3 linked regions of the Medicago truncatula genome follow. The protein of the gene in region 2 interacts with the protein of the main gene of each other region in a pairwise test. Links are inferred from orthologs where the notes say so. Each region holds a gene or a part of one and is shown on either strand. Other genes may lie near its edges. The genes, in order: uncharacterized protein, transcription factor HHO3 and ethylene-responsive transcription factor 4.

Region 1 (10,724 bases), on a different chromosome or scaffold from region 2:
GAAATTGAGGAATCACACTATTGTTATCAGTTTCAAGTAAATTTCTTATGCTAGTTAAAGTGCAAAATCATTTAAAAATATTTTATGAAGTTAAATCCAAGAATGAACTAATTGCAAATTGCAATGCAAATAGGTGCAAAAAATATGATCAACGACCAAGGCTTCCGGGATGCACTATACTTGATTGATATTGGGCAAAATGACCTTGCTGATTCATTTACCAAAAATCTGTCATATGTGCAAGTCATCAAGAGGATCCCAACAGTTATCACTGAAATTGAGAATGCTGTTAAGGTCAGTTTAGTGCTCTTTCAAACTGTTGACTAAATTTGCTCATGACCTATGAGTCCGACTAATTTTATTTGTTTCATAATGGCGATTTAGGTATAGCTAAATGGTCTGTGTGTGATCATAAAACTGATCCACTATTTTTTTTGAGAGGAAAACGGATCCACTTTTTTTTCACTTTTATGGCTCATCCTTTATGACAGAAAATTAAATTTCCCCTTTTCCTTTTATTGAGTACTTCCTTTACTTTGTAGCAAGGTTTCCATCTCTAAATTTCTTGATTTTAAATTCTTTATCTGATTTCGATAGATTATAGATAAGAGAGATAAGAAGTGTAGCTACTGCTGAATTTTTCTCCCAAAATCAAAATTAGGATAAAAAAGTGTGAAGTGGTTGGTGTGCAGTATGTGCGAGTGTTGTAAACCTTGGGGTAGTTCGATTCCTACTTATAATAAAAGGTTTCTCCAGTACATAATAAAATCCGGTTTGGTACTTTAGTTTATAATAATTATAAAACACACTGTAACTCATTATCGTGGCAGTGGTTCCATATACCACCTGATTACATATATATACATTTCATTGTAAATCAAATTCAGTTTGCTCATTTCAAACAATGAGTTTATCCGATAAGATTCTTGGCATGGATTGACCTCATGCACACATGAGAAGTTTATTGTGTGTTTTCGTTTTGGATGCTGCAATAGGGTAGATTCTTTTATTACTCAGGGTACTTCATTTGTAATTGGATAAAGGATATTGCACTTTCTTTAGCTTAGAAGAACAATGTTCATATCTATTCCATACGTTTGCTACTCATTCACTCAAACTTCTTCATTGAATTCAGATCATCGACATGTGCATTTTTGTTCAAAAAATCTTGATCTTATTATTGGTTCTCCATTGGTTTGATGCTTAGTTCATTTATCTGTATGCAGAGTTTGTATAATGAAGGTGGAAGGAAATTTTGGGTTCACAATACCGGGCCCTTTGGCTGTCTTCCTAAATTAATTGCACTGTCTCAGAAGAAGGATCTGGATTCATTCGGATGTCTTTCTAGTTACAATTCTGCTGCAAGATTGTTTAACGAAGCACTGTATCATTCAAGTCAGAAATTAAGAACTGAATTGAAGGATGCTACCTTAGTCTATGTTGATATTTATGCCATTAAGAATGACCTCATCACAAATGCCACCAAATATGGTAATAATCCAAGCAAGCACTTTATTCTCATTAAGTATTGATTATTATTAGACTCGGGGTTATGATGCTAATCTTAATCAAGTTATTACGACATCATATTGTTTTAGTTCTAGGTTCCATTGGAAGCGAACACGTAAAAAAAATGCTTTTCAATACACTGTTTATGAAATCTCTGCTTCAGTGGAATCAAGTTATTGCACTTTCCTCTGAAAAACATTGTTGAGTGTTATTATTATTACTATCATGATTGTGATGAAGTTTGTTAATACATTATCAAATAGGTTTCACAAATCCGCTAATGGTATGCTGCGGCTTTGGAGGGCCACCTTATAATTTTGATGCAAGAGTGACATGCGGTCAACCTGGTTATCAAGTTTGTGATGAAGGATCACGGTATGTGAGTTGGGATGGAATCCATTATACCGAGGCTGCAAATACATGGATAGCTTCAAAGATACTATCGACAGCTTATTCCACGCCACGCATACCTTTTGGTTTCTTCTGTCACTGATATCTTACAATGATTAAACTATGCAAGAGGGTGAAAAATAGTGAACTACTATTATTTCATTAGCTGCTGTTTTACCGTCTATGTACTTCTCTAAGAACAGGTTTTGCCATTTGGTTATGCTCAAGCATGAAATTGAAGCCTTACCCATGTTGCATTGTTGCCAGGTTCAGATAGTGTCTTCGTTTTGCCAAAGGAGAGTGTTTGATTTTGTAATGTTGTATTATGTAAAAGAACAAATGAGAAAAAATGATGTATTTTTCGCTATGCCTCTATTATTAATTTAGGCCAAATACCTCTCCGGATCCTTCAAGTTTCATATTTGTTTCAGATAGATCCTTTAAGTTTCTAAGGTTTCAGATGGGTCAAGTTTCGAGTTTGTTTCGTATAGATCCTTTAAGTTTCTATGGTTTTAGATAGGTCCTTAAAGTTTCGAGTTTGTTTCAGATAAGTTCTTTCTATCAACCTCCGTTAAGCCAAAGTTGATCTGTCTCTTAAACCAATTAGTTTTTGCTTATTCCTTCAAAAAAAAAGATATTAGTTTTTGCGTATACATATCAGGCACTGCATTAATCCACAACACAAACATTCCCCCTCTAAGTGGATGACAATGTTTTACGGTAGGATCTAAAATGAAATGGGAATATTTTATAAATTATAGGTATTAAAAACATTTAATTTTATATGTTTTGTAGGGTGATGAGTGCTAGCAACACTCTCTTTTGAATACTCTCTCTAACACTCACTCTTTTATTGGGTAAAATCAATGTAGGACCTACAATTTGGAAATGGAACCCACATAAAGTGGTGGGACATACATTGATTTCACCCAATAAAAAGAGTGAATGCTAGGGAGAGTGCTCAAAAGATAGTGTTGATAGCATTCCTTTTTGTAGGATTTAAGTAATTCATTAATATAATGCTTGCCGAATCTATGCGGTCCTTCTCAGCTAACATGGCAATGTCACAATATGAAAGAAAAAGAATCTAAAATGAGCTTATGAACTCTGTACAACTAACCGTCGTTATCTCTAAAAAAAAAAAGGTCATTAATTCTTATTAGTTACATTAATCATTTTTATCACATGATACAAATTAATTATTATAAGAGAAAATTGATCATAATTTTTATCACATGATAAAAAAAAAAATTATAAGAGAAAATTGATAAAATCCAAATTAACAAGCTTGATAACTCTTTTACAATGTACACCAACAAAATGGCCAATCATGAAAGGCAATACATTTAACGTCAGCAAATTATCATCAACATAGTCAATATATGAAACACTAACACAGACACAGTCACACAGACACGTTGACGTGGATAATAATTTGAGAAATGAAAGTAATTGAATGTAATCAAACGGACACTAGATATATGTTCGATTTAATTCTAAAGTGTCGATACTACGTAGTAGCCAAACCTTCATATGGTATGGTATTATTACAAAGAAAGATTTAAGTCTAAGCTATTATCACTTGCTTTTTCTTTCTCTTTGTCTTCATTTTGGTTTTTTGGTGTCACTGTTGTAGTGGTTGCACTTGCAGCTACTTCTTCTTGCACATATTCTTTCTCTATTATCATCACCTCTTTTTCTTGCCGTGAAGAAGGACCAGCTGCAGCAGAAACATTACTCTTTCCCAATTCTTCACAAGCAATGAAATCTTCAAGTTGAAACGTTGGGTTCCAAATACACTTTTCCTTTTTTTCTTCACCCACCTTCTTGTCTGTTTTGGAGAGGATATCTCTTGTACTCTTTATCAAGGCAAAGAACTTCTCCATTTTCTCATCATCATTTTCTTCTTCATCTTCCAACATTTTTCTCTTCCTGTTTTCTCCTTCCATGCTCCTCAATTACTGTATCAACACACTAGCTAGCCTATATGACTAACTATATATATTTTGTATATTTATATTTGCCGTGTAGAGGAAAACAAGAATAATATTGAGAAGACTTATGGAGCTAGCTAGGTAGTTGTTTATATTTATATTGTATATTCATTCATAACATAACTATATAAAATAAGACAACAGAATATAAATCACTTAATGTGATTCCTAGCCAATCATTTAAAAAAAAGAGAAGAGAACATAAATATTAGTTTTTCATCTCTTTTTCTTTAGCCCAACTACAAAAGAAAGAACCAAAGCGAAGTAAATTGATTGAGAATATAGATTGAAAAATTTGAAACTATATAAACAATGAGATTGAATAAATTGATCAATGAACCGACTTGAATTGAAATTGCCAGGTCAGCAAATGAACAATGAAATTGTTTACTGAATTCAATGAACCAAAACCATTTTTTTTTAAAGGACAATGAACCAAAAACCATGTTGACTTGTAATAGAGGTGTGAGGTCAATACCGCGTTTGGTCAAGATTATTGGATTGACAAATATGCCCCTAAGGAGTTAAAATAATTTATGAAAGAGAGAGGGTAGAATGGTAAGTTGGTGCAAAAGATAATTTGTTTGAGGTGAGAAGATAGTTAGCATAAAGAAGCATCTTTCGTCATCCCCATTACGTAATATTTCGACCTTTATTATGTGTTATATGACTACCTATTTGCAGAGCATCTTGCGGGTAAATGGTTCCACTAAAGAGGATACTTTAGGTATAGGTATAGGTCACCATACCATGAATGGACCCCATAAAAAACATTAATCATAGAAAATTGAATCCTTAATGAATAATTAGTGTCTCAACCCGGGCACACAATATCATTATCAGATTGAAATCTTTTCTGAAATCCGCGTTACAACGTGTATGACAAACAAGATATTTATTTAATTACTCCCTCCGTTCCTAATTATAGGATCCTTTTGAAAAAATAACGGGAATTAAGATAGTGGATATTTGTATTAAATATGTTTGTAATTACTATTGTTTTTACAATTTTATCCTTTAAGAGAGAATTGATTTATGTTTCCAATATGATATTTATTGCTGATTGAAGAAAATTATGTATAATAAATAGGGGCATACATGTAAAAAAATAATTAATGTAGTTGGAAATAATAAAGGGGTCTTATAAAAAGGGACAATTTTTTTTTTCAAAAGGGTATTATAATTAGGGACGGAGGGAGTATTTGTTAGCAACTTGGAATTCAAGAAAGTAAAAAAAAACAAAGAATAGTTTTTCATTGATTAATTTAAGGAGAATGTTAACCAGTGTCCCCGGGATATTGGTTAAGCATAAAAAGAAGTAAGTTTTTATTAAAAAGTAATGTAATTATTACTTGATAAAAAGTGACAGTTTATATTTACAAGACAAAAAATCTATTTATAGATTCCTTAACCCGTGCCCCGGGCCATAGTTTACAAGACCCTTAATTTATTGTTGAATTAGTAGACCAAATGACCAATTTCAAGTCTATGCGACCAAACAAAGGCAATGACAAATAGGGTTGGTCTTAAATGACTTGACTAAATAATTAATTAAAAGTGGCTTTGAATTTGAATGATAGTGTCTGGAATTATACTAATCACTGTCATTAATGGTAATCATGGTGAGGAAGAATGGCCAGGATACTTTCATCAGGGTAGTAGAGTTATCAGAATTGTGCTAGCACGTGACGTAGGTATGGATGGATGCAAAGACAACTCATGATGCTGATTGCTGTGGTCCATATATACAGTTGAATGAAATCAGGGATGAGATTATCCACGTGCAATCCTCTTCTTTTTTCCCACGAAATTCTAGAATATTGGGTGAAGAACTACTATTTTGAGTTAGAACTACGCCACTTACATTCTTGCTTAATATGCAGTTTTGTTTTTGTTCATTTCTCTGCTAAGTTAAACGTCATTTGAGTGACATACTTGATCATCCTACATGATCAGTAACATGACCTACTCATAACTCAGCCACCACGCAAACAAGAGGGTAGAAAAAAACCTCCAAGTAGATGAGTGTGTATAAAGGAGTAAATATAAACTTAACTACAAACACCAACGAAAATTTCATAAAGCCATCTAAGAGAGAAAGATAAAGCTTAGCTTGCACTTAAACGTTTTAACTTTTATAGGATACGTAATCCTATACTCCAAGTAAATGTAATAGGAGTTTCAATCTTTATACTAGTGTGTATCTTCTCCAATCTTCTAATAAAAGAAAAAAGTAACTGAAGGTAAAATACCTTAACAGATACTGAAACATGATCTTTCAGACATCCCATATTTGAAACTCCTCTAAAAGAAGAGAAGAAAAGTTGTTTAGCCTTCATCTCTTTGCTTTCCATTTTTATTTAGTTACTTTTCTTCCCTTTTCCTCCCAAAAATCACTCAAAAACTATAGTTTTCACTTTTCAAGATCATAATATTAGGCCAATTATATGTTCAAGTACATTAAAAAATACTTATAGCCTTGGTGGTGTAGTCCAAGGTAACTGGGAAGGTGAATATGAACACAGTAACGAGTTTAAGGGATAGAAATGCTAATCCTCTACCCAACGGACAGCGTGTTTTGCCCAGAGGTAGTATGCTCCAACCGGACCGCGACCACCCAACTCATAAAGCTCCACTGATACATTGTCCTTGTCTATCTCATTCAGAATCGGAGTTAGAATGTTCCATGCAGCTGCCAGCTCATCGCTTCTCATAAACAGATGATTATCCCCATCAATGACATCAAGCAGAAGATGCTCGTATGAATCCGGCACCTCAATGTTGTACCTTAAAAAACATTAATGAACAAAATTAGGCAGATAAAAGATATTTAATCAAGCACGCGGGTTAGAAGCATTTGGTCAAGGTATGATGCAAACAAATACTATAATCAAACACGGTAGTGCTTACTTGTCCTTGTAAAGCAGATTCAATTCTGAAGAGTCCAGTTTTAAGCCTAATCCTGGAACCTTGTTGTTAACTCTCACCAGAATGGCTTCATCAGGATCATCACGAAGAATGAGCTCATTTGTGGCACGGCCAATATTGTGCCCGATGCATTCACGGTAAACATTTCCTGGAACATGTCGAAATTGAATTCGTATCTCCATTCTGCATTAATACAAAATTTTGAACCTTTGTCAAAAAATGACATGAGTTTTGAACAACAAATTTTCCGACTAGTTCTACATAAGCCTATAAATTGCATCATTCAACAAATTATTGCATGCAAGCAATAAAATCTAGACCAATATTTCTTTCATGCGAGACCTGGGGGCAGGGACAGAAGGAATCAGTCCTTTTCCCCTTTATTTGACCACTTTGTCAGAGTGGGAAACAACATAAATTTTGCAATTATTACAAGCTCAACACACACCCCATCTAGAAGATCTAAACTCGCAGCAATAAGAAGAAAATACTGGAACAGGGACAGGCATGCCATGGAATCTAAATATATAATCTAGTACATAAAATTGACAAAACGATGATAATTTTTACTGGTGTTTGATGAGTCCTAAGCCTGTTTTAACCAAAAACGGTACACCATCCCATCGTGCATTGTCAATGTATAGTGCAGCAGCGAAATATGTAGGTGTGGGACCATCTAAGCACTTATCAACTTTGTCTCTGCAACTTGATTTATATTGGCCAAGAATGACATCCTTGGGCTCCAATTGGCGAATTGATCTTAAAACCTTGACCTGGAAAGAAGCTAATTACTTGTACTAGGTGATAAATGGAAACCATGCATCTTTCAAGCTGTCATTCGTAACAAACCACTCTAACATCTTAAGAAGTTGTCCTTAAAAGCAGTTATTATGTATAGCAATGGTGTATTTGTGATTTAAGCATGGATAAATATGTTTTAGAGTAATTTCTGTAGAATTTAAGATTTTACATTTTTGACATGTCAAATAGGTAATTTTTCTTCAATTGTTTCTTTATTTAGTAGTTAATACGCGAAGGAAATGAATTAGTAGAACTCAAATTCACTCAAAAGCACACAATGGTTCTAGCATTTGAGCAACAGAATGCCGGCACCTATTGTGCACTGGGAAAAAGGCAAATTACTCGTGTGATAGTCAGCACCGAAGTGTTGGTCAGTCAGCACATGATTACTTACACATGCTTGCATTGCCTGCGTATTTCAAAGTACCCCACAGTGCCATCGACACCTCGGTGCTGGAATGTCACAGCCTATACTGATAGTTATTTTTGCCTGACAGTATAAAAGGATAGTATGATGAATCTAAAAAGACAGAACGGATCATCAGGTGAACAGACTACGTAGAAAGTACAATATCGATTAATTGGGAAGGGGGAAGTCCTTACTCTTGGAAGACAGTCATATGTTCATTTCCTTTGCATGAATTCACCAATTTTCCTTATTTCTTTTTTTATGCTTTAATCGTGTTTTAACTAAATTTCTCTATCCGAATCATTTCAATACAACCACAACCAAGCCTTACCCCACTAAGTGGCGCTGACTTACATTGATCAAATTACGCCATAGTGTTCTATCATAAACCATATGTTACAATCCGAATGATTTCAATACATGACATTAATCATCATGGCAACAATATTTTACATAATTTATTACTTATCCAACTCAGTAAGTTGTTTAAGGCATAGCATTATTTTCCTTTTCTTGACTAATCATGTTTTAGCTAAATTTCTCTATCCGAATGATTTCAATACGTAACATTAATCACCATGGCAACAATATTTTACATAAATTTATTACTTATCAAACTCAGTAAGTTGGTTAAGGCACATCACTAAGTATGCTATAGATTATAGTTTGTACAAGTACCTTTTCATTTCGAATATCTTCTCCATCAAGGCTAACTGGTGGTTCCATGGCAAGCAATGCAATTGTTTGGAGCACATGGCTGTGAACAATATCACGGATAATCCCATAGCCACCGAAATACCTGCATGGGTAACAAAGCATTAAGCTGAAATCATATCACAAGCAAAGACACGTTGACTGTAATTTTGTTTATGCATATTCAGTACAGAATGACACGTTGTAGTGTATTTACTCAAATGACAATACAACCAATATGATCACCTTCCTGGATGCACAGCCAAGTCCTCTGATAAAATGACCTACAGAAATTGCATTAAGAAGATGATAACAAACATTAAATTTCAGAATAGACATTTGGTTTTTCGTTGAAGTTTAGAAATTCAGGGATGCCAATCAGATAAAACAAGGGTGCTGACCTGCACATTATCTATGTAAGTTCGACTCCATAGCGGCTCAAAAACTAGATTGGCAAACCTTAGAACTGTGAGATTTTCAATGAGATTCCTTCCTAGAAGATGATCAATCCTGACAACAGATTGATGAGAATCATCAGTTTATGAACAGTATTTCTGAGTGTGCCCAAGTGGTTCATCCGAACCAAATATTTTTATTGGATTAAATTTTTCTCTCAAATACCGGACCAAATCAACCGACCAGTCACGCATCCATTTGTGTGCATGAGCATATGGGTGAAAATGGGAGAAGAAGGTATGAATACCTATATAGTTGCTTTTCCTCAAACTTCGAGAGAAGATATTGTGTCAGCCTTTGGGAAGAGAGAGCATCAAATCCAAATGGCTTCTCAATTATTATGCGATTCCATCCCTTTTGGGTCTGAGCACTGCTTGCAAGACATGAAGCAACGTCCAAAAGTGCTTCTTGTGGCACAGAAAGGTAGAAAATCCTATTGGTTTTGGATCTTCCCTGAAGTAGATAATAAGCTGTAGTAGAATCAAATATCAAAGGGCGGACAGCTCGTAAAGAGTTTACACACTACAGGAACTCACTTGAGAAGAAAAGAACTACTTTCATACATACTACTAAAATTAGAGAAATTTGTTCGAAGCTACCTCGATCTGCTCCATTTTGGCCTTCAGTAAGGACACCCCGTGTTTGTTGTCGTAACCTCCATTGATGTAGTGTGTTCTATTAAGGAAAGCTTCTATTTTGTCCCCACAATCCTGCCTGAAATTGGAAGATTTTATATTTCACATTAATGTAAAGTAAAAGGTAGAAGTATCCTACAATATTGACCGTATACAGTGGGAAAAACGAAGATGGACTTCATTAATTCACTTTCAAACCAGAAAGCTTTATAATTTTCTGTTTCAAATGAAATGGGGCAATTTATTTGCAAAAGTGGAATTGGTTGTAAATTTACTGATAGATTTTCTCTGCTATAAATTGGTTGTAAATTTTTAATAAATCACTACCTAGAAAGCAGTTTCCCAAGTTGGCATATGAAGGATTCAGTGCAACCTACTAAAGATTTTGTCTATGAATGGAAACTATATATAGAAGGTAGTAATTTGGGAATTGAAAAGAAAACCATACTGATGATCAACTCGACATGTTAATGTCGAAGCAATAATGGATCGTAGGTCTTCGTCAGTTATATTCTTCCTTGAATACCCAAAAATGGCCACATTCTGCAGACATGCAATGCAAAATCAATATATATTAAAAGTTTAAAAGGGTAAACATTGACTAGGAATATTAGTCTGCATAACTCTTATGTTCCACTAACAAAAAATAAATAAATTGGATTACATATCATGAGTTTATATAGCAGGTGGATGATTCACTTTGGTCCAATGTGAGTCTATATTAACTATTATGTCCCAACATATGAAGTGAATCTTTGATATGCATGCAAGAGAAATCAAGAAAATCTGTTAAATTGTACCTCAGGGAGAAAGCCACTGTAGTAGAGCGCAAATAAAGCTGGAAAAATCTTCCCCCTCGCAAGCTCACCAGTGGCTCCTATGACAGCAATACAAAGTGAAGGTTCTCTA
Region 2 (11,567 bases):
GAATCAATAAATTATTAATATCACTTTTTTATTTTACAAATATACTATTTTACATTTTGATTCAATGGTAAAACTTATTGATGTAATGATGGAAACAAATTTGGATATGGTCACATTCAGTGACGGATCCAGGATTTTTGAATAGTGGGCGCACTATATATAAAAATTTGTAGCATTAGTAATTGTCCTATAGAATTATTCATATTATGGAAACTTTAAATGATTTTCTCATTTTCAATATCAATAGAAAAACATTTCTCATATAAATAACTAAAAATTGTTTGTGATAAGTGTAGTCCATGTGATCAAAATGTCAACTATTGATATATTATACTACCCAAAAAAATTGTTTCTAAAAACTGTGTAAAGGCAAATGTCAAAAGTAATTTATATTCAAGTATTAACAATATATTCTTTAAAAAAAAAAAAAGTGCTATGAATATATTTCTTTGTTAATGGAATTGGTAGGCATGTAGATCATGCAGGGTGGAATAGTTGGTTAAAGTCAAGATATGTAAATATAAATATAAGAAATTGACATTAACATTAGCTAAAGAAGATTCGAGTTTATCCATGTGATAAGAATGAATATTTTCTTTGGAGTATCAAGCAAGATATATAACGTACAAGCGCATGGATTAATTTTGTGGATTTAAGCAATTTAATATCTAAACAAATAACCCTACGAAAAATATAAATAACTAGATATTTTGGCCTATTGAATGATTTGACCGTCAATTTGGTTGTGTTTTTTTTACTTATTTTCTTCTTAAGGCTTTGCTTCCATAGAATCAATGAAGTTTTTGCTGTCACCCTAACTTTAGCTCAGCTGTTAAGGATAATGCATTCATATATATGTAAGGTTTGGGGTTTAAACTCCGACACCAAAAAAAATTGAAGCTTTTGCCCATTAAACCTTTTTTCTTATTCAATGTTTCAATAGTGTGATTTCATAAACGAAAAACTTTTCACATTATTCAATGTTTTTTAGGGGCACATTATTCCTTCATAGTGCGGGCTGAGAGTTGCTCATTGATCTGGGGTTGCTCATGCACGCACAGGTCGAGAGTTGCTCACTACCAAGTATGGATAAGGCTTGACATCCAAGCCCTACTTGACCACTACTTATTCCTATGCTTTATCCCTGGGACAGGTATGCTTCTTACCCATATTATAGCCGCATAACTTTTGAACCTTTATTGACTTTGGCGTCAAAGCACATGCAAGTAAACTACCCCTCTTTGGTGGAGAAGGACCATCAACGAACGACTCAACAAAACCTGACCCGTAATTTTTTTTTTTAGTATCCTGTCAAGTATCAGAGCATTTTCCATTATCATAAATGTAAAGCAGAATATATTGAATTGAGAATGATGAAGTAGTACCAATTATAGTTTTAATTGAAAAAAGTAATTAATATTGAAAAAAAAGCAATTATGTTAAAACATTTTTTATACAAATGACTCAGTTATTTTGGGACAGAAGATGTACTTCTTTCGATCATATTTATAAATAAAATACAACTTTTTAGATTCATTGAATAATTAATGTATTTGGTCATATTTATAGACTATATACAATAATTATTCAATAAATCTAAAAAGTTATTTTTTAGCTGTAAACGTGACCAAAGAGAGTACTATTGATCAAGAATCTTTTGGCATTTTTAACTCCCGGTGGCCACTGGCTAGCAATATATCTCCAACTTCTTTGTCCTATGCAACACAACGTCAAACGATAAAATGAATATCGACATTGTGGTCATTGCAAATATTCTGTAGGATATTCTCAGATTCTTCCCTTTGGAATCATTAATGAGACGTTAGAATCCTATTAAGTATTAACCCCATCACATCATTATCATGCCAAATAAAAAATTGGATAATCCATCTCCAAAGTTACAAATCTGATCAATTAGGAACCATAACATAGACGGGCTCTATCTTCCCCTTCTCTTTTGTGAGCCGTCACCAAAACTCTAATTTCTTCTCCTTCATCCACAAAGAATAGATGATTTAGGGTCAATATTTGATCGAAAATCATCAATCTAACTCGTTTTTTCTATTTTCCTTTATTAAAATAAGTAATTTTCACATCTATTTCGGTTTTTCTTTTGTGATTTCGTCGTCTTAGTGCGACGTTGTTTTGTTCGTCGTCTTTGTGCGACATTGTTTGTCTTTCTTATTTCGTTCAGGTATTTGTTCGATTCAGATTGTCAGATCAGCTTCGATCTAGTGCAGATCAAATCAATGACTTTGGAGTCGTCTTGCAGATCTGGAGACATTGATATTCCGGAGACTTAAATATAGTCATATGTGTAAACTTTGATTTTTTGCTGTTTTATGCCATTAATATGGATGATGTTGTGAGTTTGTTCACATATTCAATATTAAAATTAGCATTTTTCAATTATTAAGGATTAGATAAAATTGATAAACATCGAAGACTAATATTGATTTCTGTATAAAAAAAAAAAAAAAAAAAAGAGTAACATAAACTAATTTATCATTTCATAAATTTAAGTATCAAATTATTCAACCAGTACAATTTCAATGTTAAAATGGTAATTTAATCGATTAGAAACCGAACAATTTATCCCTATAGCTCAATTGACATTGACATGCATTATTATATACAAGAACAGGGGTTCGAACCCCGGACACCCCACTTATTCATCTTGAAAAGGGTGAATTCTAGCACTAGGCTACTTGATAAAAAAAAAACCGAACAATTTTTTTAACCAAAGAAAATAGAAACCGCACAAATTGACCACCAATGTGATAAAGTTGAACATGTTGCCTAGGAAGGGCGATTTATTTACTTAACATACAAAAATGTCACTTTCCTTTCACTGTATTTTCACTTGTATAATTTAAGTCCCAAACAAAACAACTCTACTAAAACATAGCTACAAAAATGAATTATTTTTCAGCATCTTGAAGTTGTAGGTGTATGAGTGGAACATGATGAGGCAGGGGAGTTAGAATGAGCAACAACTCTTTCTACAGAATGTGAATTCTCACTCAACTCAAATTTCTTAGACTTTGGTTTTATAACTGTGGTTGTAGATGAAGGATGTGTAGCCACAGGTGCATAAATTCCTGTTGGAGTAGTAACTGTGGTTAATTCTCCTGACACTGTTGTTTTGGTGGCTACTGCAGCATATTCTTGTGGTTGGACATAAATGTTCCCTACCAAGAACATAGGAGCTGTATGTGAATTAGAATTGTTGTGAATTATTGGGCTTCTTCTTGTGTGCAGACGAAATTTCTGTCCATGTCCGAAAATTAAAAAAAGTTAGACCATAATTTTGATCATAGACAAGAAAAATTAACAATCAAGAAGATCGTATAGTGATATGTGCTAATATGAATTCGAGTTCTATGCAGTCGCAATTCTGATAGTCAAGGATCTTGACCGTTAGATTAAAGGTTAGACAGCTCGTATTCGAGTTATAATTTAAGCTTGATTTGGTATAATCAGAATACGAGATGTCTAATCTTCATCCACGGTAAAAATCCGTGGATTGCAGGGTTTACTAGCCACATATAATCCAGGTCTGAGACAGAAAATTATACAAATTATAGAAATGGAACAAAAAATAACTAACCTGTAAATGACTTTTGACTTCATCGTTGGTGAGGCCATCGACTTTCATTAGTTCCCTGATCTGTTTTGGCGTCGCAGCTGCAACATGTCACGCACAATTCACAATTACATTTGGAACAATTAATTAGAAGAATGTACTAATTATGCTGATGAGTAATATATTCACTCACAATTTGAACCGCCAAGTTGTTGAAGGGCATGCAAGAAGCGTTTGTGCAATTCCTGTGACCAGCAACGGCGCTGCTTTCTCTGACCTTTATCGTCTTTTTTGCTGCCGCTTTCAGGAACTGGTTCGGTAGAACTTGTAGCTGGTACTTGAGGCGAACTGGTTGGTGCTTTATCACTTTCTAATGCATTATCTTTTTCAGCAGCGATTTCCTCTTTGTGGAATGGTTGAAATGCTCCACCATTTCTCTTCACTTCTACGACATTTGTTTTCCTAGGTACATCCTGAACAAACATTTCACATTCTCTTAATTTCTTTTCAATTATGAAACAGACAAAAAGTTCTAAAGGAACAATTCCATTCAATGTATCAAGCAGACAATAGGCTTGATGAATTGAGTGACGCGGAAGAAGTCCTGATCAAAAGTTTCACAGTTCAAAATCGCTAATTTACCAACGTTTGCTTATAAAATAAAAATTCATTTATTAAAATCAACTTCGGTTTTGCCATCCAGAAACAGTTAGTGGTACAACTTGTTGTCTGTTTGCCTTTCAGTCCAGTGTAATTTTCCATGATTAAATCCTACAAAAAAAATTCGACTTTGGTTTTGCAATTTTATACCTCTTTAGCAGATGAAGGGTTGGGATTCCACAACTGAACAGATCTTAGCCAATCAGATTTCATCTTATGTGATGAATGTTGCTCCTCATCGTCGTCATCTTCCTCATCATTTTCATCGCAATCGGGGGACAATGCCCTTTTCTTGATAGGAATAAACTCCTCAAAAACAAGACCTTCATCTGTCGATGTCTGTTCCGAACACTCCGATTGTGTTCCAAACAACTGTTGCTTACAAGTTTCAATGGCTGCATATTCACAAAACATAACATATAAGAAAAAAGTAGAAAAACACAAACCAAAAAACCAATGAAAGAAACTTTAACATGGTATAAAAAAATGGTATATTCTTTTTTTTCTTCTGGTTTGTTTTGTTTACCTTGTGTAACAAGCTCAAGAGAAAGAGGAAGGTCTCTAGGGAAAACCTGAATTTTCTTCTTTTCTTCTTCCAATGCTAGGATATAGTCACGAAATTCCATTTTATGAGAGTGCATTTTGTGGTGGAATTGCATTGAAACCATAAAAATTTATATGAATGTGTTGTTGAGGGAAAACAGTTTGAGGAAGAGGGTAAGGATGAATATATAGGGAATGAATGAGGTTTTGTCCAAATACAGAAAAACGGATCCACCAATGAAGAATATGGGATCTGAATAGAATCAAATTTTGGAATAAACTTTGAAGAGAGAGAATGGCTTATAAACATTGAGTTCGGGTCGTCGCATACTAAGACGAATCTTTGATGCCTTTTATATTCTTGCTTTGTTTAGTTTTTGGCTTAAATATGAAAATAGTCCCGGTAAATATCTAGCGTTTTGGATTTAGTTCCTATAAAAATATTTTTTTGGTTTTAGTCCATGCAAATATAGAATATTTGGTTTTGGTCCTTGGTATTTTGTTTTAATCCTTGTAAAATCATTTCATATTGAACTTGATCCCTATAATATTCATTTTAGTCCTCATTTTGAGGGACTAAAATCAAATATTCTACATATTACAAGGACCAAATCCAATATGAATTACTTTTACAAGGACTAAAACAAAATATCAGGGACCAAAACCAAATTTTTTATATTTGCAGGGACTAAAACCAAAAAAATATTTTTACAGGGACTAAAACCAAAATGTCAGATATTTGCAGGGACAATTTTCATATTTAAGCCTTAGTTTTTTTATTTTTGGTGGCAGGAGTTTGAACCTCGGATCTTACATATATTATGCATTGTCCATATCAACTGAGCTAAGCTCACGTGAACAAGGTTGCTTTGTTTAGTTAAAGGAAAACATTGTTTTGTTTTTTTTTTAGGTTTTTCCATCAGGTGTAAATTTGCATGTTTTTTTTTTGGTGATAGATGGGGTTTGAACCCCGACTTTGCATATATAATGCATTGTTCCTACCAACTAGGGGTGGCAAAACGGATCCAACTCGTCGGGCCGGCCCGTTTAGCCCGCTATTTTTGGCGGGCTGAGTCGAAGTTTTGAACTCGCTTTTCAAAGTTGGTTCGCCCCGCTTAACTCTCGTTAAAAAAACGGGCCGACTCGTGACGAGGTGGACCGACCCGTTTAACTTGTTTTTCTTTTTTGTTTTAGACTTATTTTTTCTTTTGGATTTATTTTGGTTGTTGTATTTGTTTTTATGTTGGTATATTTTCATTATTTTGTTATTAAGTATGATGTTGAGTTCGACAACTTATTAATTATCTTGTTTTTACGACAAATTTATTTGTTGCATATTTTTTTTGTTATTTTTTTATGATAAAAGCAACATATATTTTAAAAAAAAATGATAAAAGCAACATAGTTTTTTTTTTTTTGTAACAATTAAGTTGTAAGAAAAATCATCAAAAAACTTTGTTTTTTAGGGGGAAAAAACAACTTTTTTTGATGATTTTTTGTTTGGCGGACCAGAAAACCCTAAATTTACCCTTTTTTTTGAAGTGACCCATCAAATATCGGGTCAGGTTTGTGTGACTCATTAGATATTACACTTGAGTATGGAAAATAATTGACAATCGTTTGAAATTTGAAGTATTCTAGGCTAGACTTGAGTTTTGAAGTATTCTTAAAATTTTGAGTTATGTTTGATTTTGATTGAATTAAGGATGTTTTATGTTATTTACTTTTGTTTATGACTTGAGTTTTGAAATATCTTGAAGTTTATATATGATATTTGAAGTATTTTGGAATTTATATATGATATTTTAAGTTCTATTTTTTGGTTAATTTATCCCGATTTGACCACCATGCTACATTTACATGCAAATTAAGTTCCTCCCTTAACATTTTGGTGTTGTGTTGGCTGGGTTTAGTGTTGTTGAGATTTCTTTCTTTGTTGTTATTTTTTTTCATGTCTGCGTTTGTAATCAAATTATTATTAGAGTTGTTAAGACTTTTTTTTGAAAACTCGGTATCCGATCCAAAAATCGACTAATCTGAGGGGACCAATTCCACCGCCCACTTGCGGGGGCCCCGTTTAAAGCCAGAGCAAGACTTAGCCCACCGAAATTGGCAGAGGGAATCGAACCTGAGACCTCTGGAGGAGCAAACTCCAAGATCCCAAGCCAACCACTAGGCCAACCCCAAATGGGTTTAGAGTTGTTAAGACTATTCCATGGCAGGATGCTTAAAGGCTCTGGTTTAAAAGAAAGGCTTTTGAATTAAGTTGATCGAAGGTGAATTAGCTGCTGATTACATTGCTGCTACTTAAAATCATGTTGAAGAAAAAAGATAAAAGAAGAAAAGCTTTGAAACTGGTGTCAGGATACATTTTTCCTACATCATCCATCATTTATCACTAAACTTTGATTTCAAGCATTATTTTGATCATGTTGGAAACATACATTCAAATTTTACGATATAAATTCAAATTTTATCTAGTCTTCATAACAACTCATTGTCCATCACAAAGGCTTAAGCAAAGATTTTTGGTTGTTTTGGGACTGGTTTGATGGTTTTATTGCTGGATCTGTTTGTAGTGAATCTTCTTCAAAAATTACATATTTAATTGAAATGTATTTAAGATGCTAAATACGAAATTTTAGTCAATTTTCACCTTCCCTCAAAAAAAAAAGTCAATTTTCACTTAATTTTTATACATTTTATTACAATATTAACAATACATTAATAAAAATAATATTTAAAAGTGATTTAAAAAATAATATTCTTTGAAAAAGTTAAAATAATAAATATATCTGGTTATTACTTCATAAAAATAAAGGGTAATAGTCATTTTAGTTTGTGAATGTATAACACGTAGTCGCAATATTCCATCAATGTATAAAAATTCAATAATAGTTTCTGATTGTGCACTGAGTAAGTCAAAATAGTCTTTTAAGTTAAAATGCTTCTTAATATTGTCAAATTAGTCCAAAAAAATTAGTCTTTAATTGTCATATCAGCCTCTACAAGTATTTACTTACTGTCATATCAGTCATCCTATAAAAAGAGTTAATGTCAGCATTGAAAAACTATTTTAACGATAAAGATTAATTTGAGTAACAAAATGCACAATCAAGGATCATTTTAAAATTTTGATATATTGAAAGACTATTATGACTATTCGTTACACATTTAAGGATCAATATGATTATTTCTCGAAAAATAAAATTCTATGGTTATGGTTCAGTGTTAGGTTAACAAGGACGGTAGAAATTTTCTTAAATACAACCTATTCACATGTTGTAATTGTTAAGATATTTATGTGCTAGAGTTAAATCAATTAAGCAAATCAAGATTATTATTTTTTAAATGGTTAATGAGTTACAGATCATGAAATATAATTTACTCATAATGAACAATAAACCTTGATCATAGTTTGCATGAATTAGGACACCATTAACCATGATCAATGCCGACAAGCAAAAAACCTATCAGCTAGAGCTATAGGTGAAAATTAGACTATTAAGAGTTTATATCACCTACAACCACATAACTAACATTTCTTGTTGTCATAATCACCAAATAAGCGTACTAATGCAACACACATCATAGTATATATATTGTGATCATTGTATACTATTGTGTACAAGTCCTCATTGTACCTTTCAAAGAAAGTACAATCAAATCCCTTAAAAGAGATTCATGTTTCAAATGCAACACTATTCCATTACGGAACACAACTTCTTTCTCGTAAAAGAAATGACAATCTCCCCAAAGAGATTAAAATCACATTTCATATGAAACATCATTTCCACTAGAGAAATCAGAGACAAATCTCAAATAAAATTTCCATTAGAAATAAAAAATAAAAAATAAAAAAAAGCATTTAAGCATGATAGAAATAATCAAAAGAAAATGAGAATAAATTCATTAATTTAAAAATGAACACATACAATTAATGTCTGCTCCCACTAATTAAAAATATCAAAGGACTTTACAATTCCCATATTTTCAACATGTTTTGTAAATATAATCGGCCTAAGCCCTTTAGTTAATGGATCTGCAGTCATTTCTTCGGTGGATATGTGCTCAACCTCAATTTCATTATCCTCCACCATTTCTCTAACAACTAAGAATTTAATCCTTACGAGTTTAGAAGACAGCCGAGCTATTATCACAAAATATCTTCAATGGCCGAGAAATGGAATCAACTATACCAAGAGCTGAGATAAAATTCTTTAACCACATTGAATGGGTTGCAGCACCATACAATGCAACAAACTCTGCTTGCATTGTGGATGAGGCAGTTAGAGTTTGCTTAACGCTCTTCCAGGATATAGCACCGCCAGCCATCTTGAAGATATATCCAGAAGTTGACTTCTCGTCATCAGGACATCCAGCGAAATCAGCATCAGAATATCCAATGACATTTAAATCATCAACTTCCCTAAAAACAAGCATATAGTCCTTTGTCTTCTGGAGGTATCGCATTACCTTCTTAGCAGCAACCCAATGAGCATATCCAGGAATAGACAAATATCTACCCAATACGCTCACAACAAAAGATAAATCAGGTCTTGTACATACTTGAGCATACATCAGGCTACCTACTGCGCTAGCATATGGAACATTTGACATTGCATTCATTTCAATGTTGCTCTTGGGACATTGATCCTTACTAAGTTCATCTCCTTTAACTATTGGAGCATCTCCAGGCTTGCAAGTCTCCATATTAAATCTTTTCAGAACTCTATCAATATATGCCTTTTGAGATAAACCTAATAATTTTTGGTTTCTATCTCTATGAATCTCAATACCCAAATCAAAAAAAGAGGCTTCACCTAGATCCTTCATATCAAAAGAAGTGGACAAGGTTTTCTTGGTCACTAAAAGTAAATCTAGGTTATTACTAGCAAGTAGAATGTCATCTACATACAAAATAAGGAAAATGAATTTACTCCCACGGACCTTGAGATATATACATTGATCCACCTTATTCTCCTCAAAACCCATGGAAGCAACAACTTCATCAAACTTAATATACCACTGCCTTGATGCTTGTTTTAAACCATATATAGACTTCTTCAATTTACACACCAAGTGTTCTTTATTATTCTCTATGAAACCCTCAGGTTGAGCATGTACACATCCTCATAGAGATCACCATTCAGGAAAGCCGTCTTAACATCCATTTGATGAAGTTCCAAATCATAATGTGCCACAAGAGCCATTATAATTCTAAAAGAATCCTTTGATGATACAGGAGAGAATGTTTCTTTGTAATCAATCCCTTCCTTTTGTGTGAACCCTTTAGCCACTAATCTTACCTTAAAGCGTTCTACAATTCCCTTAGCATCTTTCTTAGTTTTAAAAACCCACTTGCATCCTATAGGTTTATAACCATTGGGAAGTTCCACAAGCTCCCACACATTATTGTGATTCATCGAAATTATTTCATCATTCATAGTCTCAATCCATTTATCGGACAAATCACTACAAATTGCCTCACTATAATTTTCTGGATCTGGAAAACATCCTATGTTTGAATCCTTCTCCCCTAGAAAAGTATAGTAATCATCACGATTGACAGGCCTTCGTTCTCTTTGAGAACGTCTAATGGGTAAAGCTTCAACATGATGCTCAGGAGCGGGTGCAGGAGGGTGTGGATTATCTAAGATGGTTGGTTGTGGTTCCTCGGTTGTTTGCTCAACTAAAGGTATCTCAACTCTTTCTTGTATAATAGGTATATGTATTAGAACCTTTTCTCCTTTAGAACTTGATTCTCCAGTTTCATGACCAATTGAATCACCAACATCATTCTCAAGAAACTTTGCATTAATGGCTTCTATTATTTTTGTTCCTCGAGTAGGACAATAAAATCTATACCCCTTAGCATTATTAGGATAACCAATAAAATAACACCTAGTCGTCTTAGGGCTTAAACTTTGATGCAGTCGGATCATAAATTTTAACCTCAGCTGCACACCCCCATGTACGAAGATGATTTAGACTAGGTTTCCATCCTTTTAAGCAACTCAAAAGGTGTCTTAGGTACAGCCTTAGATGGTACCCTATTTAATATATACATAGCCGCCTTAAGGGCTTCTCCCCAAAGGAAATCTGGTAATTTAGAATGACTCATCATGGATCTTACCATATCCATCAATGTACGGTTACGCCTCTCAGCCACACCATTTTGTTCAGGAGTACTGGGCATAGTATATTGACATATGATTCCACATTCCTCAAGGTATTTGGCAAAAGGTCCCATATATTGTCCAGTCTCACCGTGTCTACCATAATATTCACCACCTCTATCCGATCTAACTATCTTAATCTTTGTGCCACATTGATTTTCGACCTGTCTTAAAAATTTTAAACTTTTCAAGGGACAAAGACTTCTCATTAATCAAGTAGACATAACCAAAACGAGAATAATCATCTATGAATGTTATAAAGTACTTATTTCCACACAAGGTTGTTCTTAAAGGACCACATATATCAGTGTGAATTATCTCTAAAAGCTCTCTACTTCTATTAGAACCCTTCCTATTTTTTCTTGTAAATTTCTCTCTTATGCAATCCACACATTCATCAAAGTTACTAATATCAAGGGGTGGTAAGAGTTCATCTTTAATCAATCTATTAATCCTATCCTTAGAGATATGCCCTAGGCGCCCATGCCACAAAGCGAGTGAAGTGTCCTTTAATAAAGGTCTCTTATATCCAATATTTTGAACATGTAGACTATTATAAATATTTGAATCCAATTCCAAACTATATAAACCATCATGTT
Region 3 (10,477 bases), on a different chromosome or scaffold from region 2:
TATAATTTGGATGGATGAAGTAATTTATTAGAATGATATATAATTTAATGAATAAAACATATTTAATATTTTTTATGAGAAATGCTAACCGGTGTCTTCAAGACACTAGTTAAGGAAGTAAATATAATAAGTATCCCATTGAAAATTAAGTAATAATTTTTCAAAAGTAAAAAAAATGTAATTATAAAATTAAAACTTTTCTTTTTGATTTCTTTAATCAATACATTCAGGACACTGATTAGCACGACTTAGTATTTTTTTTTTTTTGTACTGTTACAATGTAACGAGGCAAAAAGAAAAAGAAAAAAAGAGAGAGACGAAATTAAATTTCAAACTTATCTCTCAAGATGCGAGATTCCATTTCAGGCAGATGACAGTTCTAGTAAGCAGAGCACCTTATATGTGATCATTCCTTAGTTATAAAATATGCACGTATTAGTAATCAACTTTAACACTTGACTCGGTGGTTTTTACTTTGATTATTTGTTTATATTGCATTAATTTGGCTATTTCAAAAATAGATATTTAAACGAATTGAAGTATAGTATATTTTTTCCCTAATAGAATAAAATTGAAGTATATTTATATTTTGAACATAATTCATTAATAGTGTGTTTGGATTGGAAGAGAAATAGTAAAGAGAGAAATAGGTAAGAGAGAGTTTGAGAAGAGAGAAATATGTGAGAAATAGAGTAGATTTGAGAGGTTGTTTGGTATAGGAATAAGAGAAAAGAAATAGGGAAGAGAGAAGTGTATTTTTATAAAAAAGTGATATTATATTTCCTTTGAAAAAGACAAATATATCCTTGATTAAATTTAGTTAATTTTTAAATTAAAATGAACCCATATACTATTTAGTTTTTATCTTTGTTTTTTTAATTTAAAGTAAATACAACTTCTGTCAAAAAAGAAATTTAAAATAAATACAATTTAAACGTCAGATTTTGATACATTTTTAAAATATCAGGTTCTTTATTTTCTTTAATAAAAAAACAACACTTTTTTAGTTAATATTAAAATTATCACTTTACCAGGCATATTATGAGTGGCAAAAGTGATTTTTTATATGGAAAAATCTAAACAGCAAACTCTCTTTTTATATGGAAAAATCTGAACAGCAAACTCTCTCCTGCCATTCCTCACAATTTCTTCTCTAGTTTGAAGAGAAAGTATAATGACATTTGACCCACCATTTTTTATTTTCTCTTCTTAACTTCTCTTCAAACCAAACAAGAGAAGTTTGTTACTTCTCTTCTATTTCTCTCTTCTTTAAATCTCTCTTTCTTATTTCTCTCAAACAAAACAAAGGTTAAATGTAAGTATTATTAATGATTTTTTAAATGTTTAAAAAAGGAATTTTTTATATTTATTAAATTTAAATGAAAAGATTGGAGTTGGAGTATTAGTTTGTTCCACCAAAATTAGAGTTTGGAAATGTGAAAGAAAAAAAGAGTAGGAAAAGGTGGAGACAGAGAAAAGATGGGGGCGCTGAAACATCACGTGAAGACAACATGAAATCCGACAGACACATAGTCAACACGTTTGGGGCCCACCGCCAAACACGCCCGCTTCTGATTCGGTCTCTTTTCGTACGCAGTGTTTTCGCCGTCGGTGCCGCCTGCACTTTAATTAACATTAGTTAATTAATCTCATTTAAATAATCATTTTTTCCTTTTTTAACAACACGCAACACAACAGAACACAGGAATATGAGATTCACACACACACGAGGACCCTTCTCTCTCTATCTTTATTTGGTGGACCTAGCCGCATATAACGCCGTAGGATTAAATTTTGCATTGAGATTCACGCCGTTATCAAGATAAGCCAATCAATACACGAATCACGATACCATTAATCCATTTGATCTCAACCATTATTGACTCTTCTGAACCATTCAGATCAAATACCCACGCTTCTCATCATCAACCTCAAAATGTTCCTTTCTTCTGTTTGCTACTTTGAGACTAATATAATTCAAATCGAATTCGATTCATTAATTGAAGAATTTAAAATTTGTGTTAAACATTTTACTATAAAAGTTGAGATTTTGTTTTATTTTAAGTAGACAATTTCAACAAATTTACAATTAGTGTATTTGTGGTCTAAAATTCAATCCGAAATGAAGATGTAAAGTCATTTGTTTCATTCAAAAATAATTAAATTCACCTAATTAACTTACAATGTTCAATCAAAATTCCCATAGAAGCACAATTGTTTAGTCATTTGATTCACGCAAAAAACCTTACTTTTTTTTGCTGAGGTGAAACAACAAACCTTACATTTAATAAATTTTCTGATAGAAAGTGGAGCCCATGTTGACAATCTAGTGTAGCCAAACATCAATTAAAAATACAACCATTACTACTAGTACTAGTATTCGAAAAGAACAAACCAATCAAAGAACGTTCGTTTGAGAAAAAAAATACCCTAACCTAATTATACTCACAGCGGCGGCAACATTCACATGCTTGTAATCGTAAAATCTCCACAGCCAAATCCAACCGAATACATAGAAACAAATCTGAACTGTACCTTAAAAAAAGTGAACATAAAATATACATATTCTCTACCTAGTGGATAACGTTTGAACTTTGATCAAACAAACAAACTAGAATGAAATCAAATAAAAATGCTACCATAACATATCATAGAGTAATTAACTAAAATTTCAATTCATAATTTAAGATTAATTGCAGAAACAACCATGAGATACTAATAACAAGTTCTCAGTTGCAAAAATTAATAAGGTTCCTTCTTTCAGTTATATTTACAAAGCGTGCTCGTTATCATCATATTCATGAACAAATCTGAGCACCATGTCAGCAACACACTTTGCGTTCTCTCTCTCTTTCTTCGTTAAATATTTTTCACGAGAGTGATTCCGTTCATCAAAATGGGTACTTCAAAAAACGAAAAGAAAAAAAAAAATTAATTTTTTTTTTGCTTATGGGTCTTCAAAATAGATCCAGATCAAGCAACTTCAGGTGGTGGAGGAACATTAAGATCAAGATCCAAGAGTCTCTGACGTGGCACACCTTCATAATCAACAACGGAGGAAGAAGAACCAGAGTCACTCTGCACGGCGGCGCGTCGAAAATCAGCCATGGGACGTTCAAATCCACACATCTCACGACGGCCAACGGTTAGGGCTGTTTCAGCACGTGCGAATGCGTCAAAAAACAAAACAGGACGCGCCACCGGATAGGCCAAGGTAACACCACCGTGGGAGGAGGAGAATGGTGTGAGAGTTAAATCAAGCGGAGGTGGCGACGGTGATTCAAGAGTGCTGCTTTGACTAGGGCTACCGTTGTTGATAATCTCCAACGGCGTTGGAAAATTTGTCTTCGCTTTTGAGCCGCGAAACTCACGTGCCGCTTTGTCGTAAGCACGCGCTGCTTCTTCAGCGGTGTCGAATGTTCCAAGCCAGACACGTGTTTTTTTACCTGGGTCACGGATCTCAGCGGCGTAACGACCCCATGGACGTTTTCTTACACCTCTGTAACGAATCTCTTTCTGGGCTTGAGCCTGGGCTGATGGGTTTGGCCCAGGCCCGGTGGTGGTGTTGGTGATTCTGTTATCTCTTGGAGCCATTGTGAGAAAATTGAAAATTGAAAGTGAGAAGTTTTTTGTTTTTTGGTTTAATGGGAGACAGAATGAACATAAAGAGATTTTTTTTTTTGTGAATTGTGAAACTGAGACAATGTCTGAGGGAAACAAGGGGGAGAATAAGGTGGTTTTATAGGAAAGAATGAGGAGAGAGAAGAAGAAACTACGGCGCGTGCGTGTGTGCGTGACTGCGTGGTGTGAGGAGTTATAAAGCTACGCTCCTTTTAAGCGATTGTTATTTACACAAAACGTGTCTTCTCTAACACGAACCAAACCACTTTTGTTCCAAGCTGCTTGTTTCCCAATCCTCTTTGTCTTTGGTTTAGTTAGTTACTCGAGAGCTTCATTTATTTTTCCTCATTTCCCTATTCATTGTTGTTCTAATCTAGAACCTTTGTTCCCTTCAATTGGACTACACCTAAAAATCACTAGTAGTAAAACATTTTGTAAAAAAAAAAAAAAAGTTGACTAACTTTTGTAATTTCTAATTTCTAATTTCATTCATTTTAGGTTGTGTTCTTTCCTATTTTAAGTTTGCGAAATGATATTTGAACGTAAAGTGTCTTTATTTGGCATTTAAATTACGAAAAGAATATAAGTGATTGATTTTTTGGGAAATTTTTTTTTTCTAACCCTTTTTGCCAAAAAAAATTCAGATATGACCCCCTTTGAAAAAAAAATACCGAAATGACCCACTTTTGAATTTTTTTTTTTTTTTTGTCTTCTAGCGCGTTTCCGCCATCTGAAATAGCGGGACTGGCCGCCGGATCTGACAGCCGTCGCGTCAGGCTGGCGCTGCTTTTTTTTTTTTATTTTTTTTCCGTTCCCGCCGTTTCATCTGGCGGGACTGATTATTTTATTATTTTGTTCGTTTTTTCTATTTTACAATTAAATAATAATGATAAATAATAATAATAATAATGATAAATAATAATAATGATAAATATTTAATAAAAAAACTACTTTCCCCGCGGAAACCAATTACGCCAATGTAAACTATGACCTCCCGTGCTTTGCCATAATCCAAACATGCGAAGACTAAAGAAAGGTCGACCCAATAGTACCCGCATAAGGACTGAAATGGACGAGGAGGTGGTGGAGAGGACTCCAACACCGAGACGGTGTGGGTTGTGTCGGCATACCGGTCATATTAGGAGAAATTGTCCGAGTTTAAATAATCGGTAGTTAATAACGTTATGTATTATGTGTTCAAATAAATTAATATATTTTTATCTATCATTATTATTTGTTGTGTTTTATTTTATGTAAAAAAATGCTATTTGTTCAAAAAAAAAAATGTAAAACAATGCTGCCAAAAAAATAAAAAGAAAAAACGAAAAAAAGATAAATTATGTGCTACGGGAGGTCATAGTTTACATTGGCGTAATTGGTTTCCGCGGAGAAAGTAGTTTTTTTATTAAATATTTATCATTATTATTTAATTGTAAAATAGAAAAAACGAAAAAAATAATAAAATAATCAGTCCCGCCAGATGAAACGGCGGGAACGAAAAAAAAATTAAAAAAAAAAAGCAGCGCCAGCCTGACGCGACGGCTGTCAGATCCGGCGGCCAGTCCCGCCATTTCAGGTGGCGGGAACGTCACTAAAAGACAAAACAAAAAAAAAAAAAACCAAAAATGGGTCATTTTGGGAATTTTTTTCCAAAGGGGGTCAGACTTGAATTTTTTTTCGAAAAGTGGATCAGAAAAAAAAAAATTTCATTTTTTGGAGCGTGCTAGTAGATTTTCCACTAATAGTGTCACCATTGACTGTAAACCCATGTTTGACGGCAAAATGTGCTGTGGTACTGGAGCTGGCAAAATAGGAAAACGGCATTTTATGCTAAAATTCGGCATCTTAACTGTCGAATCTCTTTACCCTAAAAATAACTTTCACACTTCTAGTTCTGGTGTTGGTATGGTACTACCGAAACATTGGTTGCCCTTTCTTTATTGTCTTCTTGTGGTACCTATGGTAACTTGCCAAAACCATTCCTACTATACTTTTTTTTTTTTTAAAATGATATTTGAACATTCATTTTATGATAATTTTTGTGACAACTTTCTCTTTCATATTTACATTATTTTTTACTTTATCTCTTTATTGCTTTGGTTTTCGTGCAAATACCAATTTTTTCTTTGTAAATTATGGTTGTCCCAAAAATTGTCAACCAAATGGTTGTTCAAATAACACTCCTCTTTTTCTTTTTTTAGGGGAAAACCACTCCTAGTATTCTAACAATCATTATTTATATTTTTTTTTATAAAAGTAATTTTGATGAACTTTAATTATACTAGTATTTGTAATATCCGATTAATTTATATTCATGTTAATGTAAATCTTTTTTTACTAGTATTAGCAAACTTGGAGTCCTTCGTTTGAGATCATTATTCATTCTTTTAAAGTCATATAGACATAGTCAAATTACTTTCGGTCAAAACTAGTTTTCCCCAATTAATACACTCATATAATTAATACTTCATCCGTCTTAAAATATAAGCAAAATTCACTTTTTAGGTTCATTTATTTAATGATGTATGTGGTTCATGACCACATACATCATTAAATGAATGAACCTAAAAAGTCAATTTTGCTTATATTTTGACACGGATGGAATACTCTACTACTCATCCTCTAATATTTTTAACCCGAATTTTCAACTAAATAAGGAAATACAATAATGACAAATAATAAGTCACATATTTGTAAATCTTTGAAAAAATGAGTGACTTATTTGTAAAGAAGAGTTTCAAAAGAAATGACATTTTAACTTCTTTTTTTAGGAAATTATAAGGCAATACTCCCTACATTTGAGACAATACTTACAATTTTTTTTTTTCAATTCTAGTTTCTAATTAATTTTACTTTCATTCATTTATACACTTTTATTGTCCAATGTAAAATTGTTGATTATTTTTAAACAGAAAATTCATATTTGATTTTTGGTGAATAGAAAGGAAAACTCACCCAAGGGGCTATAATGGCAATGCAAAAAGAAAAGGGGGCAATGAGGTATAAAAGCATCTCCATAGGAAGAGACAACAAGAATTAAAGAGATTACTCCTACTAAAAAAAACAGTGAAATCGGTTACACGTGCAGCAAAAAAGTACCCCACACGCTCAACAAAACAAAGCGCGTACTCACACGCTCCACACAAACCTCACCCATGTTAAGAAAACACTTGGCACGGTCAACGAGGTAAAGTTGACTGAACTGGATTTAAAGCACCGCGCCGCCCCAGCGCCGAGAGAGAGCGTGAAAGTGGGACCCACCAACATCATTAAATAATTGCGTTAAGACAGGGCCGCCCCTATCCACGCTGCTTCGTTTTAAACCCGACACGTGGTACGAGGCTGCGTTTCTTATTTAACGTCAGTTAACTGAACCGTCACTTTTATGACGGCGTTTAAGTGTAAGACATTTGTCGGTATTCTCCGCCTCTTCGCCGCGTGAGATGGATCATGAAGAAAGTTGTTTGAATGTTTCGGATTTGATCGGACGGTGGAGAGTGGAGATGGGTTGAGAGAGTGACACGTGGTGTTTGGATCCCTTGCGGGAGACACGCACAGGAATATGGTGCCATCTTTAGATAGAAATGTCATCATCGTTCTACTGCCGTCCTTTCTTTTTCTCTCCCTTTGAAATTCTTTTCCAACAACCTTTTTTATTTGCTAATTAATTTTCATATATACTCTGTAAAAATAAAAGAAGGAGAAAATTAGAGTAAAGAAAAGAAAATAAGTGATTTTTATCTAAACTTTAAATCGATAAAAATAGGTAACAATCAACGAGATTATTATTTGGCTTCAATAGAACAAAAGTATGTTTAATCATACTTTGTTTTCTCTCATGGAAATTAGAATCTAATCTTGCCTTTTTTCGACGGTACATATACTCAATTATTCGTTCTTAATTTTTTGTATAAATGGTATACATGAGCAACTGAGATAAAAAAAAAAAAAAAAGATAATTTATTCCTCAGATTGTGTTCTAGTACATGAAAATGTTCATATTAATACTTTTTTACTTCAAAGGTAATTTTATAACCAACATCTACCAATGAATAAAAAAGATTTTGACTCAAGTTTTGATTTACCTTGTTGTTGTAGTGATTTATCGCTTTAGTGTTGGTTTTGATTTGTTGATATGTTTATTGAGCTGTAATATTTTGACAAGTTAAAAAAGTTGTTGGTTTCCACATCGTAACTATTAGTTTAATCAATCAAAATCAAGACAGACACACATCGAGGCGAAGAAATATTTATTCTACTCCATATAATAAGAAGCAAAATAAATAAACATCAAGATCAATATTGTTATTAATTAATGTAACTTTTTAAATATATTTACATCGGAGTTAAAAAATACCACCACTTTTTTTGAAAGAAAAATTCCACCACTTTGAAAGTCTATTTCTATGAACATTATAAAGCAAGAACAAGAACAAAATGAAGCATAAAAGTGGAGGGAGTAATAAATACTCCTTCCGGTCCTATTTATAAGAAATTTTTCAAAAAAAACTTTGGTCAAATATATAAGAAAAAGTTGTGACTTTTAAGTTACATTTATTGTTTAAAAGACTTTTCCAACCCTAATTTAATGTTTGTCCTTTTAATATTAGTGGGTATATTTAATACTTCACAATTTTTTATGAGGGTATATTTGTAAAAACATTCAAAAAATTACAACCACTAATGATTGTCTTGGTTTTGATGATCTTTGGTTTCTTTTCTTATAAAAAGGATCGGATGGAGTACTAAACTATAATAAATAGTGAGAGAAAATAATTTTTAAGAAGAAAATAGTTTTTTTGGTAAAAATATGGAAGTAGGGGTGCAGGTAGTTAATGTGTCCAAAGTTTATGTGAGAAAATAAAAATAAATAAATTTTAAATTTATTAAAAGATAAGAATAGAGTTTCAGAACAACTAAACCTTAAATAGTCTCTATAAATAGATGAGAATATCAGGAAAATAAGGTTACAACAAACAAAGAAAAAGATTAGAGATCACAAGAAAAATAGGGTTGTGGAGAAAAGAGGTAAAGGAGACAAAATAGAGAAGAGCTCAGGGAGAGACTCAACCGTAGGAATTCATCTATTCGATAAACTAGAGACTTACAGGCTGATGACACTTAGTTGCAGTGAGTCTTCCGAGGATGGCTTTGGAGCCTATTCCTCTTTTACAACTTTCTTTTGTGATTTTTATCGAGTCGATGCTCTGATCTGTGACACCAGGGATTGGGAGTTTATTTTATTTTAGACTCTGGTTTAGAATTCTTTAGAATTCAGTTTTGTTGTGGATGTTTTAGATGTGAAAATTTACTTCGATGTTTTGAGAACTTTTCGACTATGATGTTTTTAATATTAAATGGAGTACTTTTTTATTGATTAAGAAGTGTGACACTCTCGCACGTTTCTTTATTTTAAATGCATTTTTATTATAAAAATAAAATGTGGAAATTAGGGTGTTACAATCATCATTCAACAAATATTTGCATTCAAGTGCTAAAAGTATAAGCTCAATACTTGGCACATGAAGGCCAATCATCAAGTCCATTGAAGTCACGTTTTCGAGGATAGGAGTCGGAATGATCATGAACATGACTTCCTTAGCACGATCCTCCTTGAAAAACCATCTAATTAGTGAATTGTCCCAAACAATAGTAAAAGGTTCTCTTCGAGTATTCTCTCATCAAATCAAATTCCCTCACTATTAAACCAACAATATAAAATTTTACTTGATGAATTCTAATTAAGACCACAACACACACAACGTTGAGAAAAAGTGGAATGAGGACACTTCTTTTTCTCAACACTTTGAGCAAAAGTCAAAACATTTGTGTCCGAACAGAGAATTATCACCATATTATTGTCATCGTTAACACATTTAAAGACCCTTCTCAAAATAATCCTCTTTAGTTCATCAACGAAAACATAAATGGACATTTAACCCACCACACTCTCCTTGTACAACAGATTACAAAGTCACCACTATTAACTTTGGACGGACGACTTGGAGGGAAACTATTATGTACCGACCCAAAACCCATAAGGCAGAGAAAACGAAGGTCTAATCGGATTCTTTGCAACCTTGGATCCTCCCTGTTATGTAACGTCACAATGGCTATTAACAGTTGTCGAAGCCAAGCTCATTCATGAGCGTTGTCCATAACAAACCACCCATTACTCCCCAAGAGATCCCCTTTGTTGCATATAAAAGACATCCTTCACTACAATGCAAGGTACACACTCTCTTCCACTTGATAAATCTCACTTTTTACTCTCTTAATGATTATAACGTCACATTTTTTGCATGTACGACCCACCAACATTCATCTTGACAGATGATGTTCCAGCTCGACCTATCAATCTCTCTAATATTAGATCAATATATTTTCTATTCACTCTCTTAAGCCATCTCACAAATACTTATGTCAATAGATATATTTAAATAAGTCGTTACAAACAAATCTATGGTAAGAAATCTACAATTGACGGTTGACAAAGAAGTTAGTTTTATTTGTCATATTATAAGCCTAGAACAAACTATTGCAAGTCGTAGCAGCCCTTGATCAATTCCATGTGTAGAAAGTAGAAACAAAATTAGATTTGCCTAGCTTACCGAACTAATAAATCACATACATTTTCCTGATTTTATCTCATTCTTCCTTATAGTGAGAGTTGTTCTCTGTCTCTGTCTCTGTCTTGTTCGTGCTGTACTAGTTTTGATTATAACTTACTTACACTAATTTGAGAGGTTGATGCAAAGTCCCAAAGCTATACGGAATCAAAATACACACATTAACCACTGAAATTTTGAAGCCCATATTTTTGCCGAATTTTGAAGCAAGAGAATCATAAGAAAAC

The links.
Region 1: the proteins of transcription factor HHO3 (region 2) and uncharacterized protein interact in binary tests that used the Arabidopsis thaliana proteins (3 or more experiments, as listed by UniProt). The link is inferred for Medicago truncatula from reciprocal best matches to the Arabidopsis thaliana genes AT1G25550 and NIMIN-3.
Region 3: the proteins of transcription factor HHO3 (region 2) and ethylene-responsive transcription factor 4 interact in binary tests that used the Arabidopsis thaliana proteins (3 or more experiments, as listed by UniProt). The link is inferred for Medicago truncatula from reciprocal best matches to the Arabidopsis thaliana genes AT1G25550 and ERF4.

The regions. Positions count from the first base shown.
Region 1 is NC_053048.1:52,917,194-52,927,917, reverse strand, and holds uncharacterized protein, read right to left. Parts: upstream 4,281-10,724; 5' UTR 3,849-4,280; coding exon 3,447-3,848; 3' UTR 3,221-3,446; downstream 1-3,220. Other genes in the region: GDSL esterase/lipase At1g09390, read left to right, coding at 134-294, 1,227-1,491, 1,773-2,002; inactive glucose-6-phosphate 1-dehydrogenase 4, chloroplastic, read right to left, coding at 6,443-6,680, 6,804-7,004, 7,392-7,594, 8,710-8,830, 8,971-9,008, 9,126-9,234, 9,428-9,633, 9,780-9,894 and 2 more.
Region 2 is NC_053046.1:24,429,287-24,440,853, reverse strand, and holds transcription factor HHO3, read right to left. Parts: upstream 5,119-11,567; 5' UTR 4,915-5,118; coding exon 4,773-4,914; intron 4,642-4,772; coding exon 4,397-4,641; intron 4,060-4,396; coding exon 3,780-4,059; intron 3,688-3,779; coding exon 3,611-3,687; intron 3,271-3,610; coding exon 2,929-3,270; 3' UTR 2,554-2,928; downstream 1-2,553. UniProt on the Arabidopsis thaliana protein: Probable transcription factor involved in phosphate signaling in roots.
Region 3 is NC_053043.1:38,971,785-38,982,261, forward strand, and holds ethylene-responsive transcription factor 4, read right to left. Parts: upstream 3,720-10,477; 5' UTR 3,595-3,719; coding exon 2,974-3,594; 3' UTR 2,623-2,973; downstream 1-2,622.